5 linked regions of the Sus scrofa genome follow. The protein of the gene in region 3 interacts with the protein of the main gene of each other region in a biochemical or structural test. Links are inferred from orthologs where the notes say so. Each region holds a gene or a part of one and is shown on either strand. Other genes may lie near its edges. The genes, in order: GTF2B, GTF2F1, GTF2E1, TAF6 and ERCC3.

Region 1 (6,162 bases), on a different chromosome or scaffold from region 3:
TACCACAGCTCACGGCAATGCCGGATCCTTAACCCACTGAGCAAGGCCAGGGATTGAACGCGCAACCTCATGGTTCCTGGTCGGATTCATTAACCACTGTGCCACGACGGGAACTCCAAGCAAGCTGGATCTTTAACCCACTGAGCGAGGCCAGGGATCAAACCCACGTCCTGGTGGATGCTAGTTGGGTTCGTTAACCACTGAGCCACGACAGGAACTCCATTAACTTACGTTTCTTAATTATTTCTGGGGATGTGACCTTACAATCATAAAATGTCTGCTATCATTGAAAATAACCCCTTTTTAAAAGTTCCCACCTGAAATACTATAGAACAGTTATGTTTTAGCCATCACAAATACACATGTAAAAAGACAACATCAACCATTCTGAAACCATGTTAAACAGGTATCTGTGAATTTGGATAGTTTCTCAAACTACCAAGTACAATTCAGAATGTTAACTCTCAACAGAGGTACTTCTGGAGTTTCCATCGTGGCGCAGTGAAACAAATCCAACTAGGAACCATGAGGTTTCGAGTTTGATCTCTGGCCTCACTCAATGGGTTAAGGATCCGGCGTGAACTGTGGTGTAGGTCGCAGACGTGGCTTGGATCCCATGTTGCTGTGGCTGTGGTGCAGGCCGGCAGCTACAGCTCTGATTAGATCCCTAGGCCTGGGAACCTCCATATGCCTTGGGTGCGGCCCTAAAAGGACAAAAGATCAAACAAATCAAAGATAACAGGTAATTCCCGCTAAAAAATTGATAAAATAATCCACATTCCAAAAATTTATATAATCAGGTTAACCAAAACAGGTCTTTTCACTGGGAAAATAAAGGATGGAAGTTTGCTTTATATTCATGCTTATTCCATAAATTCCTATTAGGAAAATATTTTAATAAATTGTAACAAATAAAATATTAAGAAATTGGCATAATTATAAAAGGTTGTCAAAGGAAACGTCGGCAGAGAACAGAAATTACAAATGTATAAAATGGGCAGCTGTGACACACAGCATACATGGGACCGACACATTCTGCACTATTAAATGGCAGAGAGAATATCACATGCACATATATGAATATAAAAATGATATAAAACATGTCGAAGATGGGCTAAGCGGAAAGAGCACTGCAGAGATTTTATAGAAAGTGAAAAAAGCGTAACTACAATTACACGAAATAACATGAATGAATCTCAAAATGCTGATCAAAAGACCCCCACAGGGGACGACACGTGCATTTATACATAAAGCTTCCATCGGGTAAAACAAATCTATGGTGTTCGAAGTCAGGCTGTGGTTCTTCTCAGGTGAAAAGCAAAGGGGCAGAGAGCGTTCCTCTTCGACTGCTCTTTGGAAGGAACACAGGTTAGGACTACACGTTTGCTAAAGCACAGAATCCTTCGGAAAACTCGGAGCAACTGGCTACAAGGGCTGCTCTGGAGAAGACTTAGGAGCCAGGAGCTCAGGAAGGAAGGAAGCTGCTGCTCACTCTTCTTGGGTGTGTACAATTCGCACGTGTGTTACTCAACGCAAAATAAAATGAAACTACTGGAAACAGTCCACTTCTAAACAAACTACCCACCAGGGTAACAAATGAGGAACCTCAAGAGTGGGGTGGTGGGAGGACAAAGGGGGCACAAGAGGGAAGAATCCAGCAAACTGCCCCCACTGACACTGGAACAATTAGGCGACCTAAGGAGCCAGGCAGCTCCCAACTGCACTCTCCAGTATTTTCGGGAGGCCTACTGTGTGCCCAGTACTGTACACAGATTACTCATCTTCACAGCAACCCTGCAAATTAAGCAATGTCTCCACTTGATTTTTGTCTTTTTAGGGCTGCACCCACGGCGTATGGAGCTTCCCAGGCTAGGGGTCCAACGAGAGCTACAGCTGCCGGCCTGCACCACGGCCACAGCACACGGGATCCTTAACCCAATGAGCAAGGTCAGGGATTGAACCTGCGTCCTCCCGGATACAGATCAGATTCCTTTCCGCTGAGCCACAACGGGAACTCCCACAATATCCCCACTTTAAAAACAATGCTCACAGAACGATTTTCCTGAAGTCACAGAATCAGTAAGTGGTAAAGTGTAGCTTTGAACTCAGAGTATTTCTGTTCTCCGCTTTGAAGACAGCAGGCCGTTCCAGAGCCCAGTACCTGTACATCTTCCTCAGGGAAAAGCTCACAGCACAAATCCTAACATTTACCTTTGTTCTCACTGGTATATGGAGAGACAGACAACCGCAATGACATATTTAAGATCCGGACATGCCCCGAGAAACGTATTTCAAGGACGTTTTTAACAAATGGAGACAATGAGGGCACAGAGAGGACACGTGCCATGTGTTCTTTCAGTAAAAAATCCATCCAGTGAATGTGCTGCATCCAGCTGCTACAACATTTCCTTCAAACACAAGTTTCTGCTCTGTTATCTACAAAAGCCCCACTGTGACCCCCTTTCCCACCGACTGCCCCAGCAGACTGTCAGCTGTTTTCAGGTGTCTTTGGGAAGCTCGTTCTCCATTTACCTACAAGGAAGCCTTACCTGACAGAGCCACACCCAGACAGAACGTTCAATCCCAGAAGTACAATCAGTAAACAAGTGTCACTGGCTTTGAGAGCTGCCTCCAGTTGTTTTAGCTAAAGCCCTCTCCTCCTCCCTCCTTGCTGAAATACAGCAACAAAAAGTAATGGGCCTTGGCCGTCACCAGAAAGGGCCTGGATTTCTCCAGCTTCCTATTTTGTGATAATGGCTTTCACAGGGAATTCAACGCCACAGACGATACCAAGCTCAGAAAAATCATGCCAGAGGTGCCTGTCTTCTAGAAGCTACAGAACTGGATTTGATACTTTCAATACATTCTGAGTAACGAGAGGCCAAGTACGGTAACAGAAAAGAGACGCTACACTGTTCTCACATTAACCTCGGAAGAGACACCACTGGTACGACTCGGTGTATTTACGCTTGGGCACAAACCCTAGTATCTACCTCACAGTGGTCACGAGGGAGGCAATTAGGGTCTGCAAGCATTTCTCAGGTCACAGGACTAAGGGCCGTCTCCATGGCACTGCATCCATTTCCTGCAGATTGGACTACACCACGCTCAAAACCTACAGAAGAGAGGCTTCCCCGCACACGTCGGTCGTCTTCCGCAGGCAAGCCTTTCCGGAGCAGAACGCAGAAGACGTGCGGACAGGAGCCTCCCACGAGAGAACGCAGCCTCGCTCAGAAAGGCCCCGGCTCCCACCGCGCACCTGCGGGACGCCAGGGACGGCCGTCCGCCCCAACCCTCCGGCTGTCAGGTCGCCGGCGGCCTGGACCTGACCCTTCCCGCTCTTCGGGGAGGAGGAGTCACGGCCCCTCGGGCTGGTGGAGCCGCAGACGGAAAACAGGCCAAGAAGTTAGCCGAACAAGACAGGACGGCTGGACCAGCTGCAGAGGACGCGAGGCCGGGGCCGGGACCCGGGAGCCCCAGACAGGGAAGCGCCGGCGGCCGGTACCCCGCGCCGCCCCCGCGTCGGGAAGCGCCTTTGTCCCGGCGGCCGGCCGCCCGCCGCCTGTCCCCGCACCCCGGCCCTGGGGGCCCGCCCGCCGCCCGGCCTCGGCTGCCCGGCCCCCCGCAGGCTCACCGGCTGGTCGACGCCATCTTCACGGCCCCTCCGGCTCCCGACCGGCGACGACGACGGACGCCCGCAAACAGGAAGCGCTTGCGGCGACGAGACGCGGCGAGCCGAGCTTTTATAGGCGAGCCGTCCACGCAGGCGTCATCGGGCGCGGCTACGGGTCGGGAGAAGGGCCAAGAAAGTGAGCTCCTGGACGCCACGTGCTTTGCGTTTTCTCATTTTCCTTTTCGGTCTCGGTGGTTTCCCGGTCGCCGGCACATCGAGGCAACTACTCAGGAAAACGCTCAAGGGCCCCAGCAAACGGGCTACACCTGACACCCTCAACTTGGCTGGGTCAAAACACCAGGACAACCCGGGCTTTGGAGGGGGCAAAGCCCTCACCCCCCAGGGCTAACCACCCCTCCCCCGCCGGGAGTCGGCGCTCAGCTCTTACTTGCCCAGAGGGCGATTCCACCTAGGTATTTGGAATAAAGAGGAATGCACTTAGGTCAGCCCAGATGTCAGTTCAGGCTCAGTCATCCCCTAGCAAGCTGTGTCTTCCTTCGCCCTTCGCACCTGGGGGCAAGAGGCAATAGCATCTGCCTTGTGTACCCTTTTAGAATTGGCAGGAGATGAAACAAACTGTGGGAGAGCATTGTGCACCCGTGAGGCAGGGAGATGCGGGCCTTACCTTCCTGTTGTTGTCATGGTCTTTGCAACTTGGGCATAGCTGAAATACAGAGAATTTACCAGAACGTTCAGATACCCCAAAAGTCCCTAAATTTATTAAATACCCAAACTAATGGCACAAAATTAATAAAAACAACAGCAACACTATCACTACGTCGTTGAAAACAAACTACCCTTGGCCCAGTGGGAATAGAGGGAAAAGGGTTTCTGTGGGGATGAGCACTTAGAATACTGCGGCTGCTTTGTTCTTTGGGGCATGGAACTGACACCACTGGGCAAACGTTGTTTCCTTGAAAGGTGGGGAAGTCTTGCTTCCTTAGAAAGAAAAAGGTGTGTAAGAGGGAGAAGTTTAGGAACTCATATAGGAGTGGGGATGGGGGAGCTTTTTTTTTGGTCTTCCCAACTAACTCTGCAATTAAAAACCCTGACTATTTTTGTGGGGGCTTTTCTCCCACAATATCTGGTAAAGCTTCAAAACACCAGAGTTCCCGTCATTGCTCAGCTGTTGACGAACCTGACTAGCATCCATGAGGAAGCCGGTTTGATCCCTGGCCCTGTTCAGTGGGTTAAGGAGCTGGCACTGCTGTGGCTGTGATGTAGGTGGGCGGCTACAGCTCCGATCTGACCCCTAGCCTGGGAACCTCCATATGCTGCCGGTGCGGCCCTAAAAAGCGCACACACAAAAAGCCAATTCATCTCAGCTGTGCCAAATGTTACCAGGAGAGGGCTTGCAGGTGCTGCGCCCCAATCTGGCAGAAGTTTCCATAGCAGAGCTTCTTGCCTTGGGAGAAGGGTGAGAGGAGGAGGAAGGGAACCAGGGGGGCACTCTTGAGCGTGAAGATAAGGACCCACCACCCGGTGGTTTAGGGTGGGCATTACATGAAGGAAGAAGCTATCAGAGAAAGTGAAACCCCAGAGGAGGGAAGCTGGGCAACTGGTTAAATTACACCTGCCCCACCTGAAGAATCTCTTATCTGTCATAACCTACTTAGGATGACTTTTATATTAAAATAGAAGCAGCTTAGGTAGGCCATTCCTTCTTCTCTTGTTAGTATAGCGTTGGCAATTTACAAAGCATTTCATCAACATTATCCCACTTAATCTTTGTATCTGATCCTGAGATTGAAACACACAGACTTGGGGTTTTGTCACCTAGGAGTCAATGACCTAGACTAGCATTTACCAAAACTTAGGAGTTGTTCATATAATCATTTTTATTTAACTTAATGATGTGAATTAATTAACCTGATTTATTTCAATCAATTATTTAAACTAACTCACTTTTTAAAAAAATCTTCTTTTTAGGGCCGCACTCAGGGCATATGGAGGTTCCCAGGCGAGGGGTTGAATTGGAGCTACAGCTGTTGGCCTACACCACAGCCACAGCAACGCTGGATCCGAGCTTCGTCTGTGACCTACACCACAGCTCACGGCAATGCTGGATTCTTAACCTGCTGAGCTAGGCCAGGGATCAAACCCGCATCCTCATGGATACTAGTCCGGTTCTTAACCCACTGAGCTATGATGGGAACTCCAATATGTTGTCTTTTGTGTCTGGCTTCTTCTAGACTTGGTGTGGGTTATGGAGGTTCATTAGTTTATCTTTTGGCCTCACTTTTGGAAACGCTGATAAATAAGTGTCTGTTATAAAAGTGTCTACATGGTGATATTGCAGAAAATGACAATTTCCTAACTTAAGGTTTGACAAATATTCGACTAGAAATCATGGAATGTTTGAAATATGTCATATGACATATTCTGCTGGACTAGGAAGAACAGCAGACTCACTGAAATGTAACACCAGCTCTGACTTGGACGCTTTTGGAAATGAGATGAAATGCCTAGAATATGAGGCAAACCTCATG
Region 2 (5,877 bases), on a different chromosome or scaffold from region 3:
ACACACAAATGCTGGTGGACTCGTTTTTGCCCTAGGGTGGCATCTACAGGTGCATTTCCACATCTAGCGGCATATCCAGGTAGGGCATGCATTAGTGTTGCTGTGGGTTGTGTGGATAAGGATGTGAATCCGAACAGGCCAGGCCCTTTGCATGCAGCACCTTCTTGAAAGCATCACAATAACCCCATCACCCCATTTTACAGTTGAGGAAACTGAGATGCACAGAGGGGCAAGGACTGGCCCATCCCTCCAGTGTCATTCCATACCATCTTCCCCTTCCTTTACAGTATTTCAGCCTCAGTGGCCTCCCTTCTGTCCCTGGAACTCATTCCTCCCATGATGTTCCTCCCCATTCCCCCCTCCCTGGAAGTCCCTCCTTCAGGTCACAGCTCACCCATCAGGTCTTCTATATGCTCTGTCTAAAGAGCCTCCCATTCCATTATTCCCAGTCTTGGAATCCCATTCCCTCCAGCAATGCCCCGATCAGTAATGATTTTGCCTGTTTACTTGCTCTTGTCTCCCCAGCCAGATCGCTGTATTCCATACTCCATGAGGACAAGGACTATTTGTCTTTCTCATCCCATCTCTATATTTCTTGTCTTTTCTTTTTTTTTAGGGTTGCACCGGGGGCATGTGGAGGTTCCCAGGCAAGGGGTCCAATCGGAGCTACTGCTGCTGGTCTACGCTACAGGTACAGCAACGTCAGATCTGAGCTGAGCCTGAGACCTACACCACAGCTCACAGCAACGCCAGATCCTTAACCCACTGAGCAAGGCCAGGGATCAAACCCACAACCTCATGGTTCCTAGTCGGATTTGTTTCTGGTGCACCACGATGGAACTCCCCGTCTCTATATTTCTAAGTAGTTGGTGTGGTTTCTGACGTATGGTATTGGGTAAGGAATAAATGAAAGTCCATAACTATCAGACCCACCCATGGAGTGCTGTAGTTTATGGTGCAGTTTTGGTGTCTTTGCTTAGCCAACTCCTAGTTTAAAACGTCCCTCTTGGAGTTCCCGTCGTGGCTCAGTGGTTAACGAATCCAACTAGGAACCATGAGGTTTCGGGTTCGATCCCTGGCCTTGCTCAGTGGGTTAAGGATCCGGTGTTTCCATGAGCTGTGGTGTAGGTCACAGATGCGGCTCGGATCCCGCGTTGCTGTGGCTGTGGCGTAGGCCGGCGGCTACAGCTCCGATTGGACCCCTAGCCTAGGAACCTCCATATGCCGCGGGTGCGGCCCTGGAAAAAGACAAAAAGAAAAAAAAAGTCCCTCCTCCCTGAGCCACCTGCTCTTTCCCCGTAGCAGCCCTGTTCTTCCTGGCTTGTAGGTATCATTTTCCGAGACTGTATAATCCACCACAACCTCCAAGAGGACAGGAGATGGTTTGTCATATTCACCATGAACTGCCCAGAACCCAGCCAGCAGGTGCTGAAAGTGGATGGAAGAATGGCTGGTCCCGAGCATGCGAGCATGCGCAGTTGTGTTACTACATGGTGGGGGAGGGGTGTGTGCACACCTGGAATTGGACAGGGAGGGTACTCGTACCTCTCGTACCTCTCTCCTGCCCTCCATAGCCTCCTTCCCTTCCATCCAGTTAGCCAGCCACCTCCGCGATGTTACCCTTCTGGGGCCTCAGGGCCCTGGCCATCTGTGCAGCTTGAACTTGCACAGACCCACTCCGCCAGCGGCCGGTGGGGTGATCCCCACCCAGGCCTTGACCCCTCCTGGCTCGGTTCCAACGTCACAAGGGCTCCTGGCCCGATCACTTGACGAGATTATGGTTTCCCTCCTGGGGCTTAGGGAAAAAATGAACACCAAAGAGACTCAGGTGGAGCCGCAGTGTTTCCGTGCGAAGGAGGTCTCAGGCACCATGGTAACGCGGCCTCCTCGGACTCACTTCCGGAGTGGAGTAGCGCATGCGCAAGGCTTCTGGGCGGCCAGGAAAAAGGCTTGTTTCTCCACCCCTTCCCAAGATGCCCCGCGGTCCTTAATTGGGACGTCACGAGCGGGGTGTTACTATACAGCGTGATTGAGTTATCCGCACTATATATTGCAGTCAGCTGGTGCAGGAGCAGTAGTAGGTGTTGCTTTTAAGTCAGATTCGGAGCCTGTGACGCGGCCCACGGGAGAGTTTCGCTTCCGGTTTAAGTGGCTGCGCAGGCGCAGACGTGGCACGAGAGGCCTCAGAGGCTGACCGCTGTTCCAGCGCCACCCCCGGATAGTTTTTCCTAGGATTGGCGGCTCGGGGTTCTCGATCAGGGACCAGAGAGCCGAAACCTCGAGGGCGGCTTCCGCGGGACCTAGAGACCCTCATCCCGGGGGAGTCGAAAAGGACGAGGATCCGACCAGATTTCTACCATTGCGCATCGCCCATGGCGGCCCTCGTAAGTGTAAGGCGAGGGGTTTCCGGGGTCCTGGCTGCAGCCTTTATACTCCCTCACTCACTGCACTGCTTTCTCTCCCCTCAGGGCCCCTGCAGCCAGAATGTCACTGAATATGTTGTCCGAGTTCCCAAGTAAGTCCCAGACCCCAGTTCCCCGTCTCCTCCCAAAAGGGACTAAGCCTTCAGGCACCTCCTGATTCTCCTTCCAGACCGGTAGCAATCTAAGGGCAGGGCTGAGGTTGAGCCGAGGTGTCTGGGGCATCACTGTTTTTTGAAGAGAGTGAATGAATGAACGAATGGGTGCATTATTAATACACAGTATGGGGAGTTCCGTGTGGCTTAGAGGTAAGAAACCCAGCTAATATCCATGAGGATGCGGGTTCAATCCCTGGCCTCACTCAGTGGTTTAAGGATCCAGTGTTGCTGTGGCTGTGGTGTAGGCTGGCAGCTGCAGCTCCGTTTAGACCCTAGGAACTTCTGTATGTGGCCGGTTTGGCCCTTTTAAAAAGCAAAAAACAAAACAAAAACAGTGCCGGTATGATGCAGCCCCCCTACCTAGCATTCCCTCTGCCACTGCCCACTGTGACTGCTGGGTGGATTCTTGTTGATCCTGGAAATCCTAGTTCCACTATATTCCCTATCTGCCACCTCACCCCCCTTGCCTAGGGCTGAGTTCCCAGTTAGCGCCAGATCTTGGGTTCCTAGAAATCTTTGTCCGTTTTTCTGAATGGAGTTGAGAATATGGATCCCACTTTGCCAACAGACTGGGAACCTCTGAGGTCTTTTATGGGTCCCCAGCATTGCCTGACACAAAGGGCTGAGCCAGGGAGGGTTTACTGAATGAATGACTGAGCACTGCCTCTTCATGTCCATTCCAGAAATACCACCAAAAAATATAATATCATGGCCTTCAATGCAGCTGATAAAGTCAATCTTGCTACTTGGAATCAGGTATGTTGAGGTTCGGAGGGGGTGAGAGAACCCAATCATGGACTTTGTGGTTGTTATAGTTGTTTAGTTGTGATAGTAACCAAGGCTTAGCTTCCTCAGCTCTTCACCATGGAGATAAGTGATGACTAAGGCCGAGGCCAAGTTGCTGAGCATGCCTGAGGGGTAAATGCAGGAGGTTTTCTCCTGAAAGGAGCTGTGCCTACCAGTGGGCATCTTGGGCCTGGATTTATCTGGGCAAGGGAGGGGGCTGCCTCCTACAGATGCTCTAAGAGCCCCCATTGTCAGAGGCTCTAGCAAGGGCTTTGGGAGCTGTCTTAGCTCATTCAGGAGGCTATAGCAGAATACCAGAGACTGTGGTTTCTCAACAGTAGAAATTTATTTCTCACAGTTCTGGAGGCTAGAAGTCTAAGATAAGGGACCAATAGGTTTGGTGTCTGGTGGGGCTCTGCTTCCTGGTTCACACCTGGCTCATTTCACTGTGTCCTTGCTTGGTAGAAGGGGGAAGGAGCTCTCTGGGATCCTTTTTTTTTTTTTTTTTTTTTCCGTGGCATGCAGAATTTGTCAGGCCAAAGATCAAACCCGAGCACCAGCAGTGACCTGTGCCACTGCAGTGACAACGCTAGATCCTTAACCTGCTGCACCACAAGGGAACTCCTCTGGGGTCCTTTTTTTTTTTTTTTTTTTTTTGGTCTTTTTAGGGCCGCAACCACGGCATATGGAGGTTCCCAGGCTAAGGGTCAAATCAGAACTGTAGCCACCAGCCTACACCAGAACCACAGCCACAGCAATGCCAGAACCGAGCCATGTCTGCAACCTACACCACAGCTCATGGCAACGCCGGATCCTTAACCCATTGAGTGAAGCCAGGGATCAAACCCGCAACATCATGGTTCCTAGTCAGATTTGTTTCCACTGCACCATGACAGGAACTCCTGGGATCCTTTTTAAGGGCGCTCATCCCATTCATAAGGCTCCAACCTCATAACCTAATCACTGGCAGGACCCGTCCTAAATATCATCACACTGGAAATTAGGTTTTAACATATGCATCTTGGGGGGACGCAGACATCCATCCATAACAGCAGCCATTAAAGGTTAAACAGAGAAATTGTAAAGTGAACTGGCCACTGAAGGGTCAAAGGCAGGTGAAAGGAGAACAGGGGAGAACAGGGGGAGGTGAGCCTTGATGGGGCTTGGAGCAAACAGCTTATGAGAAGTGGCTGGATTCTGACTTTTCTTTTTAAAAATTCTTTTTCTTACTTTCTTTTTTGCTGCCTCATGGCACATGGAGTTCCCTGGTCAGGGATCAAATCCCAGCCGCAGTGTGCAGCTGTGGCAACGCTGGATCCTTAACTCACTGTTCTGGTGAACCTGTGTACTGGTGCTGCAGAAACAGCATGGATCCCACAGCTCCATAGCAGAAACTCCTCTTTCCTTTTTTTTTTTTTTTTTTTTTTTTTAAACTTTACATTACGAAATGACTTCAAACTTTCAAAAAGCTGCAAAAAAGAGACATAGTACAGGGCTTAACCTAGATCCCTTTACCCACAGTCACTGAGCACCTTTTGGCCAAGCCAGAAATCAGCTCTGAATGGCCACTTCTCAACTTGGAAGGGAGGAAGGGGTGTCGTTGGCAGGGGCAGAGGGGGGCGAGGGCAGGCTCCCTCATGAGAGGTGTTGCTCCCTGATCCCTCAGGCCCGGCTGGAACGTGACCTGAGTAACAAGAAGATTTACCAAGAGGAGGAGATGCCAGAATCAGGCGCTGGCAGTGAGTTCAACCGCAAGCTCCGGGAGGAGGCCCGGAGGAAGAAGTACGGCATCGTCCTGAAGGAGTTCCGGCCGGAGGACCAGCCCTGGCTGCTCCGCATCAATGGCAAGGCAGGCCGGAAGTAAGTGCCTTTCCCGCCCTCACTCCTTGGGTACCCTGGCTGAACTTGCACGGGAACTTGCACGTCCGGCTGTACAGTGTGGGTGACACCTTATCCTTTATTTGGGAAGATGAGCCGAGTGGATGCCAGGGCAGGAGGTCGGAGGGGCAGGATGCAGGAGGGCGAGGCTCAGGTCCTGGTGCTCACACTGAGGGGCTGCTGGGGACCTGGGGGTTGGACGATTGGGAGCACTGGAGGTTAGGTGGCTGGAGGGCCCTTAGGCAGAACAGAGAGCATGGAGGCAAAGAACGCCCAGCCCTAGGGACTGTCACAGCATGATACTGACAGAGTGGGCAGATTGGGAGGGCTATGCGCGCCAGGTGGGTGGGAGGGACCCTCTAAGATTGCTAGGAAGAGGGCCAGGACTTGTGGGGCAGAAAAGGGTGAGGGTGGGAGTTCCTTGGTGGCTCCATGGGTTAAGTACCCAGCATTGTCACTGCTGTGGCTTGGGTACTGCTGTAGTGCAGGTTCCATCCCTGGCCCAGGAACCTCAGCATGCAGCATGTGTGGCCAAAAGAAAAAAGAGTCAGATTTCCCATTGCAGCGCAGGGGAAATGAATCTGACTAGTAGGATGCAGGTTCGATCCCTGGCCTCCCTCAGTAGGTCAAGGATC
Region 3 (6,061 bases):
TAATAACTGATTTTACACATATAGCCTAACATCAGTGAATGTGTGACAAGATCAGTCACTTTCCCAGTGGGCACTGCTGTGTCTTCTCTTTTACAACTAAACTATAATAATTTAAAGAAACCTACTAATTGCCTGATCATTTTCCCCATTTAATGCAGCAGCCAATTTAACCCTGTTGCATAACGCACTGATTCCACAGTTATAGCCCCAGCATCTAATTCAGTACCTGTTATGCTGAAGGTTTTAAAAATTTTTTTTGGGGGGGGGAGAATAAATCAACTAGTTTGAACAAAATGTAATGTGAAGAGATTGTTAGATGCAAAAGAAAAGGAATCATAAATGCGAGAGAGCACTCACTTTACATATGATCAAAAACTGTTAACTCTGGATTCCAGTTCTAAATCTTACTTGGTGATACTCTTTCAAAGTCCATTTAGACTAGCACTGCTTTCTTTATCTGTAAAACTGAGTGCTTTTATTAACTTCAACACCACTTCAAGCAAAAGAACTAAAGCTGACATAAATTAGATTATGTTCATAGAATTTCAAAGTGCAACTTTCTGAAGGGAGTATTAAATGCTCAGTAAAATATTTTGTAATTCAACTAATCTTCAGGCAATGTAAAAATGTTCTCAACCATCTCCTCTCCCCAACAACTTTATTGTTTGGTCGGGCTGTTTTTCAGGCTCTTTGGGGTCCTTAACACACCAAGCGAGGCCAGGGATGGAACCTGCAACCTCGATTCCTAGTCAGATTCTTTCCACTGCTCCATGAGGGGAACTCCTGTTCTCTTTAATCTTAATTGAAAACCTCTTATGTGCTGGGTTGTAAGAAATAGAAAAATTAAGATGAGGGTCATACTCATCTTAATGCTAAGCCCAGTTTACTCCTAGTGTTAAAATTATTTTGACACCTTGGACACTTGACAACTGGAACTGAAGTTTTCATTTCCCCCTTTCCACTTCACTCTCATTCTGTTTCTCATTATCTCCATTCCTAAGCTCTTTAAAAACTTGGAATAAATGGTAACTTTGCATTTCATAGATATGCTTTTCTGGAGTTGACTTTTGGATATTTGCTCTGATAGACATTGTGTCAGATGTTTGGAGCCATGAGCTGTGGTGTAGATCGCAGACCTGGCTGGGATTTGGCGTGGCTGTGGTGTGAGCCGGCAGCTGTAGCTCCGATCGATTGGACCCCTAGCCCGGGGAACCTCCATATACTCTGGGTGTGGCCCTAAAAAGCAAAAAAAAAAAAAAAAAAAAGAAGAAAAGATTAAAGAGAATAAAGAAAACAAGAAGCCCAGTTGAGCGTAAAAGATTACTACTACCTGCTATTTCACTAAATAATATAGGTTAGTGTTTTAAGCACACAGGCTCTCGGTTCAAACCAGTTCTGTCATTTACAGCCCTCCGCCTCTCTTTTCTCATCTGTAAAATGGGATAACGGGCCTGATCTCAGGATTGAGTCAATATATGCAAAGCACCTGGTACAGTTTCCTAAGCGCACGTTTGATTTCCTTAATTAACAAAATCTCTTAAAGGAAAGGTCCTAACTTTGTCTCAGCACGGCGTCTAATACCACACTCAGTATCCGCATATGTTTTAAAACAAAGGATCACTAAGCTGCGGTCATCTGGTAGACAGATGTAAAAACCTAAAAAAAACAGAGAAAGGCCCGGGCTCCGCGCCCCCAACACTTGCGAAGCCGCGGCTCGCTTAAACAGAGCAAAGTCCTCTGGGAAGTGTAGTCTTTGGGCCTTGAGAGGGATGTCAGCCCCCCGCCAGAGTCAGTTCATCCGCAGATGGGTGGAGAGGGAGTGAAAGGGGAGGATTTTCATATAACTCAAAAGTGTCGGGAGCCCCAAAGGTGGGTTAAGCGGCTCACCTGAGTCTCCCAACACCAGTACTTTCACCCGATCCAGGGACGCCATCTTGCCAGCTCCTTCCTGAGGTTAACGCCTATTCCGGGATTGAAGACCAATCAGAGCTGGGTATGGAGGGCCGAGTCTTCAATGCCATTGGCCAATCGGAATGTGACTGATTTGATTGAAGGCCTCACCGTGCTGATTGGCCTGCCTGGTTAAAAGTAGCGGGTGGTTTCTAAAACTGGTCGCAGGAATATGGCGTTTTCTTTGTCGCATAAGTGGCGTGGCTCGTTTAAGCCGGTAGTTGAGGCGCAGAGGGAAGCTGTAGTGGGAGTGTACGAGGATTCGCTTTGGTAAACCTTGTTCCCTGTTCCTTGTCCTCGGTTCCCTGGTTCGACGTCGCCTTTCAGGGTGTCTTCGTTGCTTTTTCCTTAGCTGTCCTCCTCCCCCTTACTCTTTTGAGTCGGTTCTCTGCTTGGTCCTCCAAAGAACCATTGACCCCGGAGCGGCCCATGTGCGACCTCGGGTAGGACTGGCTTGGCTGCGTCAAGTGTGGCCTCTGGACTCAGCTGGCAGAGTCCGAGGGAATTTAGGGCGTCGTGGTTGTCACAGTGGGGCGGAAACGAACATTTGGGAACGGGGCTGGTCCAGAGGTTTCGCGGTGATAATGCCACTTTATGTATGAAGCCGTGGAGACTATCGTGAAGTGTGGCTAACTGAGAAAAACCAGGTGGATGTATAGAATCCACGTTATTCCAGATTTGGAATAGTAATATATCGAAATCTAACAGAACTCCCCACGTCCACTTCTTCTTTCCCTTCATTTTGCAGTTTGCAGTCAGCAGAATCCTTTAAAATCGCTAATTTGGTGCTGTCACCTCCTGCTTAAAACCATTTGAAGTTTAAGAAGAGGGTTTTCAATACCCTACCTTTCTTTACTCTGGAAGCTGCAGTGGGGAAAGTGAATGGGGGGAGGTGAGGGCTAACAGGGTGGGCATGTTTGAAGAACACGTGCTGAGGAGACCTATTGAAAGTTTTATGGAAATACTTGACCAGCTGTTATCCATACTGGAAAATCAGTGGTGAACAAGATTAAGACCCTTGTCTCCGATGTAGACATTGAGAAAGTATAACTATTCACTGCCACCAAGAAGGGGAAAGAGCTATGGGAGCATGTGAAAGGGGGATGATTCTAAACTGCTAGGGAGAATCTGAGAAGGTGTCTCTGAGGAAATGTCATTTGAGATGTGAAAAATGATTAGGAGAAGGGACTTCGGCCTTTGTTGTGGGGGCGTGTGTAAAGGCTTGGAAGCAGAGAGCATGTGTGGCTCCTGGAATTGAGAGAATGCCATTGTGGCTGCAGATGAGGCTGAGGAGCCTAGACCCAGTACAGAGAGTGCATTCACTTTCAACTTTGTTCTTACAACTCTGCCTGGTGTTTGTGTGATTAGAATACATATGGTTTAAAAACAAAAGCAACTTGCTTTCAGGGGTCTGGGTTAGGTAGGGTAGGGTTGTAGGTGAGACTGATAGGTGACTGATGGACTGATAAGACTAAAAAGAAGAAACCAGACATGGCCCCCAAAGGTCACACACTCAAAAGTCTCCAGAGGCCAGCCAAGCTCCTTCCCTTTTTTAAAGTATCAATTGCTCTTCAGCTGAGTGTTTCCATGTGGGAATATGATCTCACTTTTTCCCTCAGATATTTCCACTTTTGAGAAGTAGCTGAAAATTAAAATTTATGTGATATCTCATGATTTTTATTTCATTAAAAAAAAAATGGGGGGTTTCCTATGGTGGCTCAGCAGAAAATGAACTCTACTGGTATCCATGAGGATGCAGGATCCGACTTTTGTTTTTTGTTTTTTTCCTTTTTTGGGGCCACACCTGCGGCTAGTGGACGTTCCCAGGCTGGGGGTGGAATCAGAGCTGCAGCTGCTGGCCTAACCACAGCAATGCCAGATTCATGCCTCGTCTGCCCCCTGTATTGCAGCTTGTGGGTCCTTAACCCCCTGAGCGAGTCCAGGGATCAAACCTGCATGGATATCCTCATGGACATTACTCAGGTTCTTAACTCACTGAAGCACAACAGTAGCTCCAAATCTCATGATTTTTAAATGTTGACCACTAATTCAGAAAATTTTCAAAACATTTTGAAATCAAAATTAGTCAAATCATGTGGCAGAAGCTGCCAATTTGAGACCTCTGACCTAAGTATTATAAAATCCAGAGATTGAAGAGATTTAGCATCAGTGGGGAAGTAGAGGCAGTGAAGGAGAGAACACAGTGGTCAGAAAAGAGGATTTTTAGAATATAGCGATTTTGAACAAGATGGCACATACATTTCTTTGCTGAGCTCCAGATTCATTTGTTCAGCTACCTGTGGGACATCTTCACAGTAACATTCTGTAGTATTTCTTCAAACACAAGCAACTGGAACTGAATGCCTCATTTCTTCCACCTGTTCCTCTTCAGGTGTTAGCCTGTTTCTCAGTATATTTGTCTCTTCCCAGTCATACTGGCTTAAAACAAATAGCTATATGTTATTAATGGGTGTAAGGTTTCAGTTTTACAAAACGAAGAGCTGTGGAAGTGGTTGATGGTGATAGCTGGATAACATTATGAATGTGTTTAATACCACTGAGCTGTATACTTAAAAATATATAATTGGTAAATTTTATGCTGTGCATATTTTATCATAGTAAAAAAATTGGGGAAAAAAACCCCAAATATTTAAAAATTTCCTACTGTGTATCTTCCATTTGCAATATATTATGGGATCCTTTTGATTTTGTCTCTGTAAGTTTCATTCATCCTGTCCTCTTATATTTTTGCCTTTTGTAGTTTAGGTTTGATTACTATAATTCTTAATACTTCCACAGGGCTTCCATCTTCATTTATTTCAGCCCATTTCTCAAAGTGTTTTAAGAATTACTTATCTAAGTAGGGAGTTGTTACGAAGGCCAACACTTAATGGAACTCTTATGATGCCAGCCTTGAAAGCAGAACACTGCACATGATATTATCTCATTTACTCCATGTATCAACTCTATAAAGAAGACATTGTTAATCACTTTTTATATATGATGAAACAGACCAAGAATTTTCCAGGGTCAGAGGCTCAGAAATAGTAGAACTGAGATTCAAAACTCAAAACAATGGGACTCCAGAGTCCTCATGTCACTCCCTTGCTCATATCTTTAGCACTTTAGCTAAGCTGTTTTAGGCAAAGGTACCAGGCTGAATGACAAGTGAACAGGGCCTTCCCCATGCAGGATGTGCTTTGGTGGGATGAGTAAGAGCCACATACCCAGTTTATTGGTAACAGTGGTCAGGGACTTACTCTGTATATTAGGGTCACCAAAAGAGCTTAAAAAATTAGTATGATGCCTAATCTTACTCTCTTAGACCAGCTGAAACAGAATCTCTCAAAACAAGGCCCAGGGTAGGTGTCTTGAGGTGCTGGAGCCTTTCTGTCATCCCAGCAGATCATTCTGCTTTATAGCCCAGGGTTTAGAACTTTTGACCTGGAAAATGGAGTATATGGAATGGAAGGTCAGAGAAGAGAGATGTAATAGAGGGAGATAATAATGGAAAAGTAGGTTATTTTGGTGTTGGTTTGCCATCCTTTGGTCTGTTTCTGAAGCCATATATTGTGTTCTGCCAAATGTTGAGCATGTAACAAAACAAAAATCCCCAAACTAGGTTCAAATACAACATATAGACCAAATTGGAAAGGAGAACAAAATGCATCTGGTACTTTGGTGTTAAACCCAGATGCTCGCTTGGCATCCTTAAACCTTGGGATGACAGAAAGGCTCCAGGACCACAAGTTTGGATCTAAGTGCTGCTTTGTTGTCTCATATATAGTCGTGCTTGAGTATTTGCAATCTGAAATATATAATTTGTTATAACTGACTTTTATTTTTTCCTTTATTACAGGTAGTATGTTATATCCCCCCTCCAAGTATGTGTATGCATTGATTATTTAGGCATATCTTTTTAGTATAGTACTTTGGGTATAAAAATATTTCTTATAAAAATTATTAAATCTGATAAGGTGGATAACCATTGTTTTAAATAAAAGATTCAATAGACACTAGTATTAATAACAGAATATGATTCTCTATTGAAATTTTTCAATGGGATGTCTTTTATAAATTTCCTTATGGTACAGGGAAGTTTCATTTGATA
Region 4 (6,089 bases), on a different chromosome or scaffold from region 3:
CCTAGCGCTTCCTAGCTATGTTACCTGGGCAAGTACTTAAACTTTCCCCGCTTTGGGTTCCTTCTCTGTAAAATGTGGAAAGTGTCTTTTTTCCCCTAAGGTTGTTAATGTGCCTGCCTTCATCTTTCTTGCCCTTTCTTGCATCATTATTCATGCTTGACAAAGATACAGTATTGGTTCAGTACAACCCTCCCTCTGAGCCTATATGCCTATACAATTGAATGTGATGAGAAAATGCAGTCATTTCTCCCACCTTAAAAAAAACGAAACGGTGGTCCTTCCATATGGTGGAATATTATCCCTTTTTAAAAAGGAAGGAGGGAGTTCCCCTCGTGGTTCAGTGATAGCGAGCCTGACTAGTATCCATGAGGACACGGGTTTGATCCCTGGCCCCACCCAGCGGGTTAAGGATCTGGCATTGCTGTGGCTGTGATATAGGCTGGCAGCTACAGCTGCAAAGTGAACCTCTAGCCTGGGAACTTCCATATGCTGCAGGTAAGGACCTAAAAATAAGTAAATAAATAAAAAGGAAGGAAATTCCTACACACACTGCAACACGAATAAAACTTGAGAACATCAGGCTCAGTGAGATAAGCCAGTCACAGCAGGATAACTACTATGTGATTCCAATTACATGAGGCTCATAGAGTCGTCAAATTCAGAGATAGAAAGCAGAGGGGTGGCTGTCAGAAGCTGGGGAGGGGAGGAGGGGCAGTTACTGTTTAACAGGAACAGAGTTTCTCTTTTACAACATGAAAGGAGTCCTGGAGATGGATGGTGGGGAGGGTTGCACAACGATGTGAATGTACTTAATGCCACAGAACTTAAAAGTGATTCACTCAAAAATGGTTAAGAGGGGAGTTCCCGACGTGAAGCAGTGGGCTAAGGAGACTGCAGCTGCTTGGGTTGCTGCAGAGGCATGGATTCGATCCCTGGCCTGGCACAGTGGGTTAAAGGGCCCGGTGTTGCTGCAGCTGTGGCACAGGTCACAGCTGTGGCTCAGATTCAATCCCTGCCCAGAGAACTTCCATGTACCGTGGGCGTGGCCATAAAAAGAAAAAAAAAGAAAGATGGTAAGTTTTATATGTATTTCACAATTAAAAATTAAGGAAAAAACTTTTTATTCCACTTTTCTGCTAGTGATACTCTGGTTTTCTTTGGTTCCTTGCAACAAAACTCCCTGAAAGACTGTCTTATCTCTCTTTCTAATTCCTCTCCTTTTCTCTTGAACCTACTCCAAGCAGGATTTTGACTCCTCTAGGTCCTTGAAAGCACTCATCAGGTCACCGTGGGAGTTCCCTGGTGGCGTAGTGGTTAAGGATATAGTATTGTCACTAGAACTTTCACATGCTGAGGCCACAGCCAAAAGAAAAGTCGCAGAGACTCCACACTGTCAAATCCAAAGTCCTCTCAAATTTCCCCATCTTATTCTACCTCTTAGTGGCACAGAGCATAGTTGCCTGCTCCCTTCTGAAAACACTGTCTTTACACCACTGCCACCCCACCTTCTCTTGGTTCTTCCTCCTACCTCATGGGCCACTCTCTCTCCCTTTCCTTTACTGGTTCTTCCTCTTCTTATCTGCTTGACGTTGGAGTCTGCTGGGCTCAGTCCTTGTATAGTTATGAGCTATACTTATTACCTTGGTGACCTCAACCACTCATAGCTTTCAGTATCATAGGCTGAGGATAGTAAAAAAAATTCTTTTGGCCTCACCCGCAGCATGTGGGAGTTCCCAGGGCAGGGACTGAACCCACACCATAGTAGTGACCCCAGCCACAGCAGTGACAACGTGGGACCTTAACCTGCTAAGCCATAAGAGAACTCAAAGAAGACAGCATATTTATATTCCCAGCCCAGAGTTTTCTTCCTAACTCCGGACTTCTATATCAAACTGTCTCCTTAAGGAGCTCCTGTTGTGGCTCAGCAGGTTAGGAACCCAACTAGTATCCATGAGGGTGTGGGATTGATCCCTGGCCCTGCTTAGGGGTTAAGGATCTGGCATTGCCATGAGCTGTGGTGTAGGTCACAGATGCGGCTTGGATCCCAAGCTGCTGTGGCACAGGCCGGCAGCTGTGGCTCTGAATGGACCTCTAGCCTGGGAACTTCCACATGCCGCAAGTGCAGCCCTAAAAACAAAACAAAACAACCACACACAAAAAAACCTACTAAAAACCTCTTCTAAAAATGAACTCCTGATCTCCCCATCTCCATCTCTTCCAGCCTCAGCTTTCCTCATCTTCACAGCAATGCCATTGGTCCAGGTGCTCATTCTTTATGTGAGTCCTCATATCAAATCCATCAGGTGATCCAGCCTGATCTCTCCATTCCCACTGCATGGCCAGGTCACTCTCATCTGTTTCCCAGGGAACTTCACTAGCCTCCTGACAAGGTCTTCTTCCATTCTTACTCCCTCTATCTATGCCCAACATAGCAGCCAGAGTGATTCTGTAAAAATATAAGTCAGATTGGGTCATTTCTCTGCTCAAAACCCTATAATGGCTCCCAATGTGCCAGAGTAAATCCCAAATCCTCGTTACCATCTACAAGGTCCTTGGTGATCTGCTCTCCCCCCATCACATCTCTGACCTCCTTTCCTTCCTTTCACACTGATCCAGCCCCACTGTCCTCCTTGCTGTGATGGCCTTTGCTCTGTTCCCTCTGCTTGGAATGCTCTTCCCCAGATGTCCCTGGCTGCTGATTTCTATCACCCTATTCACTACTGCACCCCACCTCCACTCTGCTTTAAAAAAATTCCCATGGAATTTAATATCTGCTAGTACACATTGTATTACTTCTTATGACTACATCTCCCTTTTCCTCACCGTGTCCACAGAGATGTTCGGTGTTATGTTCACTGATGTATTCTGAGACCCTAGAATGGAGCCTGAGACACACTAGATACTCAGTAATAAACATTTGTTGAATAAATGAATGAGTTGTAATACTTAAACATGTACGTGCTCAATAAATACTCGGTACCACTATTATCGAATCAACAAGACATAGGTCCAAGCTCGGAATCTACTTTTGTGGCCAAAAGGAAAGTGGCTCGCTTGAAGTTGGCATTAGGAAAGCTAATGTCAAAAGTGTTTAGGACTCACTGTGGGGTGTAGGTGGGGGGCGGGTGTGGGCCTACTGGAGGGGGCGGGAAGATGAAGGTGAAAGACAATTTAGTTCTCAAACTATCCCAAGTCTCCTCCCCCCTTTTACAAGCCTTATCTGCAGGGAACACACTTATTCAACACATACTCTGTGTCTGGAGCCGGGTATATAGGAGGCGATGGTGTCCCAGTTCCCTGGCGAACTCCCATTAATCCTGCAATACCCTGCGGTACCCTCTGCCAGTAAAGGCTCACAAAACACGCTACGGCCTTAAGAAACCTCAGGCCAGTGGAGTCGGCAGGAAGGCTTCACTGAGGGTTAACTTGACCTAGATCCATGTGGCAGTCTCCCCAACAGGGAAGCGGTTCGAAGGTCCCCGGGCAACGGGGACAGCGCGAAAGAAGGCGTAGAGAGCCCCCCTCATCCCCCCAACATCCCTCCAGTGCACACACACAGAGTCCCAAAGCGCAAGGACACACAACCAACCGTCCTCCTGCAGTCCCCACTCGGGCCCTTCAAAGGGCCTAATCCCGGGTACCACTCAGACCCGCCCCCGCCAGCCGAGCTCCCCGCGCAGGAAAAGCCTCTCACCGCCGCCAAAGCGCCGCTCACCCGGCGCTCGGCGCCATGTTGGCCCCGCCCCCTCCGGGCGCAGGTCCTGGCAGCGACCGAGAACAGATTACGGCCCCTTCCCCAAGCCGGAATAAGCCCTCTGGGCTCACGGCCTGAAACAATATAAAAATGGTGTCTCTGTGCCTACGTGTAAGGAGCACACCCTCTTGATGTAATTACTTCAGTTTATTCCTTCACTATCCGGCGGCCAGGACCTTCGGGAGGCGCCACAAAACCTAGGCGGGGAAGCCCGGAGCGCAACGAGGCCCCGCCCGCTATGGGGTCGGCACTGCGCGTGCGCCTCCTGCCTTGCGTTGGATTAATGCTGCAGCAGACACCTTCGGGATTTAAAGGGCCCGCTGCCTGTCCGGAGTTGCTTTGAAGGCAAGGGGGTGGTTGGTTGTGGACGACCCTTGATCATGGGACCTGTGCCGTTGGGAATGTTGCTTTTCATTTTGACTATGTACGGTGCTTGCGCTGGGACAATGAAGGAGGAAGACGATGACACAGAACGCTTGCCCAGCAAATGCGAAGGTATCTAAAGGGAGTAGCCCCTATTCGCATCTCTCTGCCCCACTTCCTTCGTCTGGGCCAGACCAAATGGACTATGATGGGTGGGTCACTCGACCTCCTTAAGGACCCGAGGGAGATGCTTGTGGAGCCTGATGGAATTCGAATGGGGTCAAGGGAAAGAATGCATAGCGCTCCTCCCAAACTATGGTACTACAATTCCCATGAGAAATTCAGAGGGAGCCTGCTTGTTCTTGCTGGTTTGGGTCCCAATGGTTTGTGGGAATTGTAGTTCAGAGACTATCGGTCCAGGACCGCCCACTCTACTGAGCATCTTCAATGTGTGTCTGTATGAGTGTGTGTGTATGTGTTTTCCGTATGCCACCAGACCTAAATCTGGGGAGCCTGCAGGAATGGGGTGTCAGGCTCAATACCTTGTGGACATCCTCTGCTCCACCCTGGCAGAGACTGTCCCAAATTACAGGCCTCATGCTCTCCTGAGAGGATATAGGAGTGAGTAAATCAGCCCTTGAAGCTCATAAAAGAAAGAAGAGGCCACACAGCTGGGAGAGGTTCCCCATAATTGTAAGGCTTTGAAGAGGGTGTGCGCTGAATGGATTTTACAGTGAGCAACATCTTCTGTGGCTGCATCACTTTTGGGGCCTAGCTGGGAGAAGACATTTCAGATCTGGACCATCGAGTGCCCTGGTTTCTTAGTTTGTTGCCTTCCTGGCTTTAATTTCTTCCTGAATTCTTTTCCCCTTTGCCTCACTGCACACTGCACTTCAATATCAGTGTTCCTCACTACTTAGTCCTAATCTCTCCTCTCCTTTCATTTGTGTCTCCATTCATACCCTCTTACACCTGTCAGTTTTTCTAAACATAGTCTTAATTGTGGTCTTTGCTTTAACACCTCTTCAGGCCTCCTGCTGTGATTAGATTACAGCCAAAGTCTTGGCCATAACATCCAAGTCTCTTTGTTGTCTGGCCTCCATCTCTCTTACATTTCCACACCCCACCTCCCATCCCCAAAGTGCCCATGTTTCAGCCATCTTAAACTTCTCAGTGCAACTGAGACTGCCTCATCCTTTTGCACGTCTGTGCTTTGCACGTTTTTCTTTTTCTTTTTTTTTTCCTTAGCCTGGAATGATCCTCTTCCTTCTGAATTTCATTCTTTAAGACCCATTTTAAATGTCACCTCCTTTGGAAGCCTCCTTCCTTATTTGTCACCTCCCACTGAATTGGAGAGAAGGAGAATACCTGTGTTTCCCTGGTCCTAGGATAGTGCCATAGACATGCTTTAGACACCTGTGTCACCTGTCCATTTTTAGCTTGCCTGGCACATAGTGGGCCCCTCCCTTTCTTGGGGCCCACTGTGGGCCAGGTCACATGCTGGAAAGACTGGTGGAGGAGACACAATGCTCACCCTTAAGGAAACTGTGAGCTAGAAGGAAGTCATTGAATGAAGTTTGCATTTCCTAGTGAAATTAAGCTTCTTGGTCTTAACCCCCATTATAGGGTCCATCATTACACAATATTATCATCTTTTTAATCTGTCCCCAGTGACAATGGCAATATCCAGGGGATAGGGATTATGGATCTTATTGCTCTCTGTATTGCTGTTGTTCATCTAGGAGCTCAGTAAACAACTACAAAAAATAGCCAACTGTGGCTCAGTGGGTTAAGAATCCGGTGTTGTCAACTGCTGTGGCTTGGGTCACTGCTGTGGCATGGGTTCGATCCCTGGCTTCGGAACTTTTGCCAGGCACTATTCCAGGGGCTTTACGTAAATGGATTTAATCCTCACCAATTTAGAGGTAAAGAAGCTAAGGTACAGCAGGACTGTCACACAGCCAAATGGCTG
Region 5 (5,404 bases), on a different chromosome or scaffold from region 3:
ACCATTTTTCCAAGAAAGGGCAGTAGCAGCCTGCTGGCACCTGACTGCTACCATTTTTCTTGGTCATGTCAGGTCTGGCCTAGATTTTTGGCCAGAGGTCACAGCAGACTCTGCTGGGACCCTACCCCAGACTCAAGAAGGCAGACTAGCGAAGGGGCCTACATCTTCAGATTTTTTTTTTTTAAAGCTCCATGGGCTGTTTCGAGGCACATCCCCAGTAAAGGAATGATTGCTATTTAAAGGAGTACCTTTTTTTTTCTTCCCCTGTCTTTTTAAGGGTGCACCCATGGCGTATGGAAGTTCACAGGCTGGGGTCGAATCAGAACTATAATCACCAGCCTATGCCACAGCAACATGGGATCCGAGCCACAGCTCACGGCAATGCTGGATCTTTAATCCCCACTGAGCGGAGGCCAGGGAACCAACCTGCGTCCTCATGGATGCTAGTCAGGTTCATTAGCACTGAGCCACAAAGGGAGCTTTCAGAGGAACTTTAATCTTGATCTTCCAGTGGTAGATAGTAGTAGCCTGGGAAGCCCTGGACTCTCCTTCCTCTGTCTTTGCCATCAGCTGCCTGCTCCCACATTCCTGGGTGCTTGGCCCAGTCAACTGCTCAGTCCTCATAGGCATCTTTACCAAGTCCCTCCTGAGGTGGTCTCCTGGGTGCACTGTATCCCAGCAGCACCCTTCCCGGGCCTGGGGCACGTGACACCTTGGCTGCTGTCTTCCCATGTCTCAGATGGCCTTTCACCTGTGGTTGGTTTTGACAAATGGTGTATTTCAGTATTTAAACAAGGTGCATGTACAGTGCTCTAGTAGGGCCTGCCTGGCCCTTGTCTCTCCTAATGCTCACATCTGTGTGTGAAAAGACATATCTCCTTTTTCTAAAGAAGGAAACAAGTTCAGAGCAGCAAGCACCTCAGCAGTGCTAGCTGTTAGGATGATTACAAATAATTTTGGCCAGATGCATGTGCTGAGTCCTCTCTGTCCTCCTTCATCTTGACTGGGCCTTGGGTAGGATTGCCCTTTGGTTTCTCCTAGGCGCTGGGAAGTCCCTGGTTGGAGTGACAGCTGCGTGCACTGTCAGAAAACGCTGTCTGGTCCTGGGCAACTCAGCTGTGTCTGTGGAGCAGTGGAAAGCCCAGTTCAAGATGTGGTCCACCATTGATGACAGCCAGATCTGCCGCTTCACCTCCGATGCCAAGGACAAGCCCATAGGCTGTTCCATCGCCATCAGCACTTACTCCATGCTGGGCCACACCACCAAAAGGTCCTGGGAGGCTGAGCGGGTGATGGAATGGCTGAAGACTCAAGAGTGGGGCCTCATGATCCTGGACGAAGTCCACACCATACCTGGTGAGCAGGCTGAGAGCAGAGATGCCCACTCAGCGTGTGGACAGACTGATTTCCAGTTCTTGGGTTGAGGGAGGATTGGCTGTGCAGTGCATCCATCTTGCTGGAAATACTTGCGAGATGAGGCTTCTGAATAAGTCATAAGCACAGGGTGGGGGGTGCACACTGAACACTTCCTTCCTTAACCACTGGCCCCAGAGTAGTCATTTAGAAAGTGAAATTTTCTTCCTTCTTCTGTTTCAACTTACCTTTAACCCTCTGCCCTTTTTTTTAATGGTCCAGAAAAACCCAGACTAGGAGAAAAAGGTACTTACAGTACTGCTTGTTTTATTTGAAGACTAAAGCGTTGATTCTTAATATGTTATAGAAGCCTTACTTGTCCAATATTGCAGGTGATCCTTCTTTTAAACAGCCATATTGATATAATTTATAAACCATAAAATCCACCCATTATAAGTATACAATCTAAGAGTTTTAGTGGGATGGAGTTTGTGCGGCCATCACCATGATCCAGTTTTAGAGCATCTTCCTCATACTCGCTTACTTGCAGTGTTATCATCCTTAGCCCCAGGCAACTGCTGAATTGCTTTCTCTTTGTAGAGACATGCCTTTTCTGGAAACATACTAACAGAATCGTATAATAGGTATTTTCCTGTACCTGGCTTCATGTAATTTTTTGTCCACATTGTAATGTGTTCCTTTTATTACTAAATGGTATTCCAGGCATAACAAATTAAGGGGTAGCCCTGATCAGTTAAGCAGTGTAAATTAGAGTTTACTCTGAATTCAGTGAAATCGGAGGCATTTTCACATAGAGCATTCAAAATATGGTCAAAATGGCCTTTCCATCTGTTTTTTCCTGTGAAACAAGAGCTCCTCCTGGAACTGTGGGTGTCTGCAGAGACCCGGAGGTGCTGGTACACCCGGTAGGGAGATCTTTCAGGTAGAAGGAAGTGGTCCTGCAGGGGTAATAGTACAGCTCTGGAGCTAGAGGAACAAGGGCAGTAGTCATGCTGAGGTTGAGAGTGTTGGACTTCCTGTAGGACCTGAAAGCAGGCGTTTGGCTTGGACTCTGGGTGAGAGGCTGCTTGAGGGGTTTGAGCAGAGGGTGATCTGAGTTAATGGCTTCTGGGTTGGGAAGAGACCCAGGAAGTGGGTGGAAAGCAGCCAGGCAGCTTAGCTTGTGGAAGCCCAGCCCAAGGCTCGAATCAGTCTGATTCTGATTCTGTGGTGAAGGCTAAGCTGACAGGCTGGATGTGGCTCTGAAGGAGGGAGAGGGCAAGGCTGCCATAAGGTTTGGGCTGGAGCCGTTGGAAGGAGTAGACGTTCATGGAGATGGGGAAGCCTTCTCCTCTGGAGAAACATGATCAGGAGTCATGTTTTAGACACGTTTATTTGATTGCCTGTTAGACCATCAGGCAGTGGCCAAAATGTTAGAAAATGGGCAAAAGACCTGAGTAGACTTGTCACCCAAGAGAGTATACAGGTACCAGTGAGCATTTGAAAGGTGTACAGCTACTTTGGTCCCCTTGGTAAGTTGCCACTGCATACCTGTTGGAGTGGCAGAAATAAAAGCATTGACTGTACAGGTACTGAGAAGAGTGCAGAGCAAATGAACCTATCAGACGAGGCCAGAGAAATCGCAAAATGCAGTCACTGGGGCTTCATTAGAAAAGTACCACGTGACTGGGTGGTTCTAGCCTGGGCGTCTCTCCCAGAGAAGTGAAAACAGGGTCACACAAAAAGCTGTGCATGAATGTTTAAAGCAGTTCTGGTCATAATCTCCAGAACCTAGAAACAAGGGAAACTCCTGTCAGGGAGAGGCTGGTTGGGCAGCTGGGGCACTGTCCACTGGGACGCTGCTCTGCTGGAAAAGGGACGCCCGCTGCCTGCGGTGTGGGTGCTGTATTACGGCAGGCAGGCCTGAGTGGTTACAGGGTGACTCCTTTGGTCTAACATTGAAAAGGCAGAACTATAGTGATGACAACAGGTCAGGGGGCTGGGGGGGGCTGCCTGTAAGGGAGAGCCTGGGAGCTTTTGGAGTCTGGTTTGCTTAGTACATGCATCCTTCCCTGTGTCAGCCGTTAGGGCTGTAAGGATGCAGCAGCAGGATGGGGCTGTTGTATAGATACTTCAGGGAGGGCTGCTTTCTGACTGCAGAGCCTACAGTCAGGGTCCTGCCTTCCTGGTGGGTAAAATCCCCCAGTGCCACCTCCCTGGAGCCCACATTAGTTTGGTGTCTCCGTTGCCTGGGCTGCCATGTCTTTCTGATGTGGGAACCTGGGCTGGGGTCCTGGGCTGCCCTTTTTTGGAGCTGGCACAGTCCTTGGAGATAACCCTAGCCCTGTTTTTTTTTGTTGTTATTGTTGCTTTTTTTAAAATGAGAGTTGCAACGTTTATTTCAGGTTCTCTCTTGTTTTTTTTTTTTTTTTTCTTTTTTGCCACACAGGCAGTATGTGGGAATTCCTGGGCCAGGAATTGAACCTACACCGCACAGCAGCAACCAGAGCCACGGTGGTGAGAACGCAGGAGCCTCAACCCTCTAGGCCATCAGAGAACTCCCCCTGTTTTTTTTCCAAGTGTGTGTGTAGCCATGTTAGGCTTCAGTGTGAGAAGCTCTATAAGACATGGATGTTTGGGGTTAGACAGCCCTTTGTTATTTCAGATGATAGTATATATATTTTTTCTTTTTTGGCCACCCCCAGGCATATGGAGTTACCAGGCCAGGGATCAGATCTGAGCTGCAGTTGTACCTATGCCAGATCTTTTTTTGTCTTTTTGCTTTTTCTTGAGCTGCTCCTGCGGCATATGGAAGTTCCCAGGCTAGGGGTCCAATCGAAACTGTAGTCACCGGCCTATGCCAGAGCCACAGCAACTCGGGATTCGAGCCATGTCTGCGACCTACACCACAGCTCACAGCAACGCTGGATCCTTAGCCCACTGAGCAAGGGCAGGCATCGAACCCGCAACCTCATGGTTCCTAGTCAGATTCGTTAACCACTGAGCCACGACGGGAACTCCTCTATGCCAGATCTTTAACCTACTGTGCTGGGCTGCGATCTGAACCTGCATCCTGGTGTGCAGAGATAAGGCTGATCCTGTTGTGCTACAGGAACTCCACTGTTCCCTATTTTTGGTTTGGGTTTTGATGAAATCTACCTTCTTTTCCCTCATATTGTTATGTCTATCTCTGAAGTATCATTCACCTTTGTCTTTAATTTTACATAAGATAAGCATGACAAACATTTCCACCTTCCTTTAAAGTATTAGAATTTTAAAAAGTGAAGCTATAGGAAGTTTTGGTTTGTTGGGTTTGTTTTTTGTTTTTGTTTTTTGTTTTTTTGCAATGACAACACCCCGTCTTTTAACCTGCTGTGCCACAGGAGAACTCCTAAATTGAGTTTTTTAAAATGAGTATCTCATACACATTTATATGTTTAATTTTTGATACATCGCAAAGAATTAAAACGTTCAAATGAAGCGAAGGCAAAGGGAGTTGCTGGCTGAGCAGGATGAATATGGCTAGAAGAGTGTGGAGAAGGACGTTTCATTTCTGGTCTCTGGGAGGATGGGGGAATGGAGCATATCTGGCTCCTTCCTTTCCTCTGATTCTCCAGCTGCCCAGCCATACTCCTGGAAACCAAGGTAAAAGGCTTCAGGGACAAGTTCCTTTCATAGTTCAGAGCTCAGTGGTGGGTTTTAACTGCCGTTTATGTTTGTGGCAAGAGTGGAGCCATTGTGAGGAGGGTGCTGGAGTTTCCTAGCTTGGGGCTCCCTCCAAGCCCCCTCGCCCTTTTGTTCTCCTGTTCACCCTTTTCTTGAACAGGACTGAAAGTGGTGGTCAGGAGTTCCCACCAGTTCTTGTTTAGAGCCAAAGCCCTGGGATCCAGAAACCAGGACTTAGTGTGTGTCGTGTCAGGACCGTGACCGTGGTACTCTGGGCATGTAAGAAGTGACAGCACGAGTGCGCTTGTCTCCCCAGCCAAGATGTTCCGACGAGTGCTCACCATCGTGCAGGCCCACTGCAAACTGGGTTTGACTGCAACCCTTG

The links.
Region 1: the proteins of GTF2E1 (region 3) and GTF2B form a complex in vitro, tested with the Homo sapiens proteins (2 studies listed by BioGRID). The link is inferred for Sus scrofa from reciprocal best matches to the Homo sapiens genes GTF2E1 and GTF2B.
Region 2: the proteins of GTF2E1 (region 3) and GTF2F1 form a complex in vitro, tested with the Homo sapiens proteins (3 studies listed by BioGRID). The link is inferred for Sus scrofa from reciprocal best matches to the Homo sapiens genes GTF2E1 and GTF2F1.
Region 4: the proteins of GTF2E1 (region 3) and TAF6 form a complex in vitro, tested with the Homo sapiens proteins (2 studies listed by BioGRID). The link is inferred for Sus scrofa from reciprocal best matches to the Homo sapiens genes GTF2E1 and TAF6.
Region 5: the proteins of GTF2E1 (region 3) and ERCC3 form a complex in vitro, tested with the Homo sapiens proteins (2 studies listed by BioGRID). The link is inferred for Sus scrofa from reciprocal best matches to the Homo sapiens genes GTF2E1 and ERCC3.

What each region holds. Positions count from the first base shown.
Region 1 is NC_010446.5:127,520,427-127,526,588, reverse strand, and holds the start of GTF2B (transcription initiation factor IIB), read right to left. Parts: upstream 3,788-6,162; 5' UTR 3,652-3,787; coding exon 3,635-3,651; intron 1-3,634. UniProt on the Homo sapiens protein: General transcription factor that plays a role in transcription initiation by RNA polymerase II (Pol II). Involved in the pre-initiation complex (PIC) formation and Pol II recruitment at promoter DNA.
Region 2 is NC_010444.4:72,685,636-72,691,512, forward strand, and holds the start of GTF2F1 (general transcription factor IIF subunit 1), read left to right. Parts: upstream 1-1,977; 5' UTR 1,978-2,372; coding exon 2,373-2,384; intron 2,385-2,468; coding exon 2,469-2,515; intron 2,516-3,261; coding exon 3,262-3,334; intron 3,335-5,030; coding exon 5,031-5,224; intron 5,225-5,877. UniProt on the Homo sapiens protein: TFIIF is a general transcription initiation factor that binds to RNA polymerase II and helps to recruit it to the initiation complex in collaboration with TFIIB. It promotes transcription elongation.
Region 3 is NC_010455.5:139,605,504-139,611,564, reverse strand, and holds the start of GTF2E1 (general transcription factor IIE subunit 1), read left to right. Parts: upstream 1-2,081; 5' UTR 2,082-2,220; exon of another isoform or gene 2,221-2,401; intron 2,402-6,061. Other genes in the region: RABL3 (rab-like protein 3), read right to left, coding at 1,888-1,933.
Region 4 is NC_010445.4:8,022,996-8,029,084, forward strand, and holds the start of TAF6 (transcription initiation factor TFIID subunit 6), read right to left. Parts: upstream 3,850-6,089; 5' UTR 3,733-3,849; coding exon 3,716-3,732; exon of another isoform or gene 3,590-3,715; intron 1-3,589. Other genes in the region: CNPY4 (protein canopy homolog 4), read left to right, coding at 4,135-4,249. UniProt on the Homo sapiens protein: The TFIID basal transcription factor complex plays a major role in the initiation of RNA polymerase II (Pol II)-dependent transcription.
Region 5 is NC_010457.5:25,195,546-25,200,949, forward strand, and holds part of ERCC3 (TFIIH basal transcription factor complex helicase XPB subunit), read left to right. Parts: intron 1-1,041; coding exon 1,042-1,356; intron 1,357-5,335; coding exon 5,336-5,404. UniProt on the Homo sapiens protein: ATP-dependent 3'-5' DNA helicase/translocase. Binds dsDNA rather than ssDNA, unzipping it in a translocase rather than classical helicase activity. Component of the general transcription and DNA repair factor IIH (TFIIH) core complex.